Linked DNA regions of Ovis aries. The protein of the gene in region 1 binds, or shares a complex with, the protein of each later gene. Links are inferred from orthologs where the notes say so. Each region holds a gene or a part of one and is shown on either strand. Other genes may lie near its edges. The genes, in order: CLSPN and CHEK1.

The links.
Region 2: the proteins of CLSPN (region 1) and CHEK1 are in contact, whole or in part, in a crystal structure (PDB 7AKO), measured with the Homo sapiens proteins. The link is inferred for Ovis aries from reciprocal best matches to the Homo sapiens genes CLSPN and CHEK1. Residues at the interface, in NP_071394.2 of Homo sapiens: Glu938, Leu940, Leu941, Leu943, Cys944, Ser945, Gly946; in NP_001107593.1 of Homo sapiens: Lys53, Lys54, Cys57, Met61, Arg129, Thr153, Val154, Phe155, Arg156, Tyr157, Asn158, Arg160, Glu161, Arg162.

Annotation. Positions count from the first base shown.
Region 1 is NC_056054.1:10,716,643-10,720,564, reverse strand, and holds the start of CLSPN (claspin), read left to right. Parts: upstream 1-1,074; 5' UTR 1,075-1,165; coding exon 1,166-1,189; intron 1,190-3,892; coding exon 3,893-3,922.
Region 2 is NC_056074.1:26,508,276-26,512,097, forward strand, and holds part of CHEK1 (serine/threonine-protein kinase Chk1), read left to right. Parts: intron 1-533; coding exon 534-642; intron 643-837; coding exon 838-1,015; intron 1,016-1,588; coding exon 1,589-1,720; intron 1,721-3,822. UniProt on the Homo sapiens protein: Serine/threonine-protein kinase which is required for checkpoint-mediated cell cycle arrest and activation of DNA repair in response to the presence of DNA damage or unreplicated DNA.

The DNA.
Region 1 (3,922 bases):
GATGAACATTTATCTGAACCCAGCTACAGCTGGAAATTTGGAGGAGAAGGCCAGTGGATACGGTGAGTAACTATCCTGGTTTGCCTGAGACTGAGGAGGTGGTACTTTCAATGCTAAAACTGTGATAGTCCTGGGAAAATAGAAACAAGTTGTTCATCCTGTCAGTGGATAGGACCATCATTGGCGAAGTCAGGAGGGTAACTGTGACCTTTCTTTTTTGGTGCACTGATGTCTTCCTTACAGTAATCTTGTAAATATCTTGTAGAAGCGAGACTCAACAAGAATCTGGAGAGAAAGGAAGCTCGAACAATGCAGTGGGGAGAAGTCAGTCTTGCCTGGATAGGGCAGGATAACAAAAGAGACAGAATGGACCTGAAGGGGCAAATAGTAACCAGCACAATGGCAAGGAATTAGAACTGTCTGGGATTAGTCTGACTCCAGACATTTTTTTTTTTTTTTAACCTGCCTTGTTCAACGAGTATGGGAGTGGGATGGGTGGGTGTTTTCTGCATACTCGGATTAAACTTAAATAAAATTACAAACCTTATCCAAGGATATTCTTTGGTATCTGAGCAGCCACAAAACTTTTCTGATGTCCAGTGGCGTGAGTGCCAAGTACAAGAAGGAGCAGGTAGGATCCAGCTGCTCCAAGAAAGGAAGTCCTGGAGGAAATCGCCACTGAGGACGACCTCAGATGCCCAGGTATCTGCTTCCGGCTCACTTCCTGCCGGCAGGGCTCACTCCTCAAATTGCGCTTGATGGGAACTGTCTCGCTACGGTAAAGGTCAAATGTAAAAGACCACCACTCGCACAGTACCTTCTTGCAAGGCCAAAGGATCTGGCCGCAAGTAAGGCAGGACACCTCCAGCCTCCCCCAGCCTGAATTGACAAGAGGAGCCGCAAACCGCCAACCTCACCCAAATTACATTCAACGGGCTGGCCGAAGGCGTTCCGTGATTGGCAGGACAGCATGGGGGCGTGGTCTCACGTAGAAAGTCTCCTCCGGATTGGTGCAAATCATCGAGGGCGAGGCCTCCACTCCGGCTGGGCGCGAAAGCTCGAACGCCGCTGCCTGACTGGAGACGGCGGGAGCGGCTGAGTCCCGACGGGTAGGGGAACTGGGGACCTGTTTCCTCCCGAGTGGCGCGCTGAGGAGGCCCTGGTCATGACGGGTGAAGTGGTTTCCGAGGTGAGTTCGTGCCCTTGCCTGCATCCGTAGCTGCGGGGGCCCGGCGCCGAGGGATTGGGGGCGGGGGAGGGGGGTAGCAGGGGTCGAGCCGGCCGAGCGGGTCGCGGAGGCGGGAGGACTACAGTTCCCGGCCCGCACCGCGGCGGCTCGGCTTCTGTACTCGCGCGGAGACAAATCCGCGGGCCCCGCGCGCACGGGAGCCAGCGGTCCGCCCCGGCTCTGGGTCCTTCTCGCCTCAGTCCCTCGGCCGGGTTGTACCCGGTCTTTGCGTCGCGCTCAGCCGGCCGCCGGCCCCAGCTCAGCCTGCTCCGCCCGCCCCTTTGGCGCGTTTCCGGTGGCGGGAGCGCTTCCTACAACAGCGCCCCCCAAAGAGGAAGGACCCAGCCGAACCGGACCGCTAGGGTGCTGTGCATGCGTAATCGCTAAGTCGTGTCCGACTCTGCGACCCCATGGACCGTAACCCGCCAGGCTCCTCTGTCAGGGCAGCATAAGGAAGGGAAAGTGAAGTCGCTCAGTCGTGTCCGACTCTTTGCGACCCCATGGACTGTAGCCCACCAGACTCCTCCGTCCCTGGGATTTTCCAGGCAAGATACTGGAGTGGGGTGCCATTTCCTTCTCCAGGAGACTTTCCCGACCCAGGGATTGAACCCGGGTCTCCCGTATTGAAAGCAGACGCTTTACCGTCTGAGCCACCAGGGAAGTCGCGGCAGCATAATTCTCTGTAAATGGACGGCGGGAGTCTGAGGGAGTTCCAAACTGGGTCTGGAAGAGGCCTCTGAAGTCATCGCCCTGGGTCCCGAGAAGGGAAGGTACCACCAGTCTTGGAAGACTTCCGGGCGGTGACTCGCTGATCGTTCTCGGAACTGGCATAGAGGCATCTTTCCAAATCTGTGTTCTTTTTTGGAGCTGGGGCTGGAGTGAGACAGTATGGGGCAAAATTTAACGGGGCGCTAAAATACTCAGTAATCAAGATAATTTTTTAAACTTTTTTTATTGAAGCATAGTTGAATGACCATGTTTTGTTAATTACTACTGTTCAGCAAAGTGACTCAGTTACACTTATATACACATTCTCTTTCATATCCTTTTCCGCTATAGTTTATCACAGGATGTTAAACAGAGTTCCCTGTGCTATACAGTAGGACTTTGTTGTTCAAGATAATATTTTATGTAGTTTTTTAAAAATAAAAATTAATGCAAAAAGAATTCCATAATTTGGTTTTGAACAAGATATCAAACTGAAATGAAGACACAATCCAACCCTGTATCTAGACTACACTGCCTTACTCACCTGACTCAGCCTGGCCCAGATTCCAAAAAACTTTATAAAAGCAGGCAGCTGACCTCATGGGCCATAATTTACCCACTGCTTTTTTAAATTTTAATTTTGCACAAAAATCCTTTTGATTACTAAGTGTTTGAGACCTCCTAACCTCCCCGTGTTCCTGGCCCTGATTATTGCTGGTTCTGCTCCAAATTGCCTAGAGTAGAGTGATGAGGAGCATCACCTTGGAGTGAGCCATGTGGTTGTCTAAACTCAGTTTCCATAGCCACAAGTACTATTACTGCTTTGAGTTGTTGGGAGAATCAACAGCATACATCATGATCCTCAGTGATTCCTCTGTTTGTATTATTTTTTATTATTTTAATAATTGCACTAAATATTCAGATCAACTTAGCAGTTGTCTCAAACTGTTCGAGTGTGGTCTTGTGCCCCATTACATTACATATGTATTTTCCCCCTTATTAATAAGTTGATTCAGAGTCCTGCGAACACCAAGGTTGTGGGGGAACTGGCATCTAGGGTTAGCTTGATCATTAACTATAGTCAAGTCATCAAACTACCTCCCTTCTCCTTAGATTTTTCACTTGTGACTTAAAAAATTGGAGGGGGGTAGTTTGGGGCTGAATTTTAGACATAAACAAACAGAAAAGCTGTTAAAATGAACCCATCATCTAACTTCTACAGTTATCAAGTCATGCCAATCTTGTTTCATTTACACCCCCATGCACTTCCCCCCCTTACTGGATTACTTGACAGCAAATTTCCACACATACTTCATCCCCAAATATGTCATTATACATATCTAAAAGGTAAATGCATTCCAAAAAAGATAACTATAATATTACTACCATACCTAAAAAATTTAGAATTATTACTTGATATTAAATGATCAGAGTTCAGATTTCTTTGACTCTTACATATACTTTCAGTTTGTTTGAATTAGGATTAAGACAAAGCCTGCATATTGCAGGTATTGCTGTATCTCTGTATGTATGTGTGAATATCTTAACTCTTTTTATAAGTCCCCCTCCCTCTTTTTATTCTTGCAATTTATTGTTAAAGAAACGACATAGTTTGTCCTATAGAGCGTCCCATATCTGGATTGCCTCTGTGTGATGATATTTGACATGTCATGTGGATACACTGAGAAATAGTTCACACAGAAAAACACAATAATGCTTGATTCTCATTTACCATAACTCAAAGCGTTGCCTCTGTAATATCCTTCAAAGATGAACAATGAGTTTTAGTTTGTTTTTTCTAGCCAGTAATGTTTAATGTCATCCTTTTGTTAAACCATTGTATTGTTTTTTTCCCTTTATTTCAGACTGATGATCCCATGATGATTTATGTATCTTTATGTACTTAGAGTGTTCTGTCACTTGCTGGTTAATGCAAAGTATATTCTCATTTTCTAGGTTCACCTAGAAATCAATGATTCAAAACTC
Region 2 (3,822 bases), on another chromosome or scaffold:
ATACATTGTTATATTGACTAAGACAAAGCAATGTAGAAAGAAGGTTTGACCTTTTTTTCTTGAGAGCCCCAGACTCCTTTCCCCTCCTTGGAAACCTTGGACTTCTTATCAACCTACCTAGGAACTGACTCTCATGAGCAAAGAAGGTTGAGTAGAGCAGATTCATAACATTCATTGTCATTATCACAAATTATTTTTTATTTTAAAAGGTTTTGATCCTGTTACTGTGTCTCTCAGTCATCATAGAACATTTTTCTGTTACCAAAAACGGTACCATTGAAATGACTGCCTTAACATTGACACTGTGCACTTGGGACATACTTATAGGCCAAGGTTTATAAAATGTGTAGTTTGCACAATTTGACAAGTCAGTCCGAGTCAGAAGTTCCTAACCACATTTCTCATAAAATCATGTAGAAAGAGCCACTATCTATTGTGTAAGTATTTTGTGTTTAAGAAATGAATTTAAATATGGTTTTTCTTCTTCAAGTTGCCAACTGGGAAAGCATTTGTATTTATGTTATTTTTTTTAGGGGCAAAGAGGCCCCGGGCTACTTCTAGTGGTGTATCAGAGTCTCCTGGTGGATTCTCTAAGCATATTCAATCCAACTTGGACTTCTCTCCAGTAAACTGTGCTTCTAGGTAAGGTCACTTAATAATTAATAAAAGATCAAGTAATTGTTGGATATAATAGTCCCCATGAAAAATAATCCATGTATATAATGTTTTCTGAAGATGAATATAATTTTTTTCAGTGTGAGAATGATAATGCCATATAAGAAAGGCCTAAAGAACTTTATTTAAAGCTATATTTTTCTCCATATAATAATGCCTCAGTGAAGAAAGTGTGAAGTACTCCAGTTCTCAGCCAGAACCACGGACAGGCCTTTCGTTATGGGACACCAGCCCTTCATACATTGACAAACTGGTACAAGGGATCAGCTTTTCCCAGCCTGCTTGTCCTGATCACATGCTTCTGAATAGTCAATTGCTTGGCACTCCAGGATCCTCACAGGTAAGGGAATTTAGTTCCTCAAATAAATAACGAAACTCTATTTTTTATTGTCTTAAAGTCTTTTTTTGTCAATTTAAGAAATACATTGTTAACACTTGATACAGATTTTCTTTTTTTGACATGGAGGAGAGAACTAGGGGAGACTTTTTTTCCCCTAATGTTTATTTGGCTACACCGGGTTTTAGCTGTGGCACACAAGATCTTCAATCTTTATTGCAGGATGTGGGATCTAGTTCCCTGACCTGGGATCAGACCTGGGCCCACTGCATTGAGAGTGCAGAGTCTTAGCCACTGGACCACCAGAGAAATCCTGAGACTAAAGACTTTTTTTCTCTTTTTTTTAGCCACATCATGGCATATGGTTCTTAGTTCCTTAACCAGGGATTGAACCGTGGCCCCTGGCACTGGAAGCAGAGTCCTGACCACTAGGCTGCCAGGGAATTCCCTAGGGGAGACAATTGTACATAAGAATCTGAAGTCAGAGAAAAGAATTTTCAGGCCAAATAGCTATAGTATGATTACTTTGGTGGTAAATCTGATAATTTATTCAGCTTTCCTCTATTCGACTTGTAGAACCCCTGGCAGCGCTTAGTCAAAAGAATGACACGATTTTTTACCAAATTGGATGCAGACAAATCTTATCAATGCCTGAAAGAAACTTGTGAGAAATTGGGCTATCAGTGGAAGAAAAGTTGTATGAATCAGGTATGTTTCATTGATTTTTGTTAGATCTTTTCCTGAAGAAAAATTTAAAATATTTGAGTAAAAAAAAGAGCTATCATTTTATGGTTGATTCATGTTGATATTTGGTAGAAATCAATGCAATACTGTAAAGAAATTATCCTTCAATTAAAAATAAATTTTAAAATGCTATCATTTTATGTATATATTAAAAATATAAAGTAATTAGTTTAATTTGAAAAAGAAACCATTGAAATTTAAGTACAATGTTTTTCCTTAAGAACTAGTATTTCTTAAAAGACTTCTCTAAGGTTATTACAAATACTAAGAGATTCAAGTCTTATTTTCTTTAAAACTATGCGTTATACTTAAATTGTAACAGCAATGAGCTTTCTTCTGTGAAAGATGGATCCGTTAACAATTCCATGCTTCCTCCATCTTCCCTGCTCCCAATTGCCGATTTTTGTTGTTTACATTGTTATAGCGTATTTATAATATTGACATTCTGATCTGTCTTTAGGCTTTTCCAAAGTCTTACAATTGTGAAAAACAAAGAGAAAGGAATATTTTGTATTAAAGGAGACTAAGACAATCATGTAAAAAAGAAGTAAACATGCTTATCTAGGTTTATAAGACCAATAAACATTTGTGGTTATTTATTGTAGGATTCTTTCAGTTTTTCTGTAGATTTGTAAACTTTCAAAATTAAAAGTTAAGGGAAAATGTTACTGTGAGGAAACCTGAAGCCAACCTGAAGCCAGCCTGATTATCCTCTCACTTATATAGATATCTTACATTTTTTTTTTTAGGTAGACTTATTGAGATAAACCTCACATGATAGAAAAATTATCACTTTAACCATTTTAAAATGTACAATTTAGTGGTTTTAAGTATATCACAGGATTATGGAGTTATCACCATTTAAATCTAGAACTTCCCACTGCCCCCCAAGTAAACTCTCTACTAATTAGCAGTCATTCTTCGTTCCTTCCTCCCTGTCAATCGCTAATATACTTTCTGTGGATTACCTACTTTTGGGCATTTCATATAAATTGAATCATATAGTATATGACCCTTTGTGTTTGTCTTCTTTTACTTAACGTAGTATTTTCAAGGTTAATTCATGTCGTAGCATTTATCAATACTTTATTCCTTTTAATGGGTGATTGATAGCCCGTTATATGAATAGACTGTTTTGTGTAACCATTTATCTATTGATGGACATTTGGGATGATGTATCTACTTTTTGGCTGTTAGGAATAATGCTTCTGTGAGCATTCAGGTTTCTGTGTGAACACAGGTATTTTAGTTTGCAAGGGCCATCATAACGAAATACCATAGAGTAGGAGGTATTTATTTGTTTATTTACAGAGATTTATTTTCCTACAGTTCTAGACACTGAAGTCCAAGACCAAGGTTCTGGCAGGGCTGGTTTCCTCTGGAACCTTGGCTTTTACATGGCCACCTTCTTGCTGTCTCCTATGCTTTGTCCTCTCTGTGCACACATCCCGTGTATCTGCCACTTTCTGTATCCTGATTGCCTTTTCTAATGAAGACACCAGTCAGATTGGATTAGAGCCCTCTGAATGGTCTCCTTTGAACTTAGTCACCTCTAAATTAAAAGACACTTGCTCCTTGGAAGAAAAGCAGTGACAAACCTAGACAGCATATTAAAAATCAGAGACATTATTTTGCCAACAAAGGTCTGTATAGTCAAAGCTATGGTTTTTCCAGTAGTCATGTACGAATGTGAGAGCTGGACCATAAAGAAGGCTAAGCACCGGAGAATTTATGCTTTTGAAATGTAATGGTGCACAAGATTCTTGAGAGTCCCTTGGACTGCAAGGAGGTCAAACCAGTTAATCCTGAAGGAAATCAACCCTGAATATTCATTGGAAGGACAGATGCTAAAGCCGAAGCTCCAATACTTTGGCCACCTGATGCGAAGAACTGACTCATTGGAAAAGACCCTGATGCTGTGAAGCACTGTAGGTACGAGAAGGGGACAACAGAGGATGAGATGGTTGGATGGCATCACCAACTCAATGGACATGAATTTGAGCAAGCTCTGGGAGATGGTGAAGGACAGGGAAGCCTGGTATGCTATAGTCCCTGGGGTCACAAAG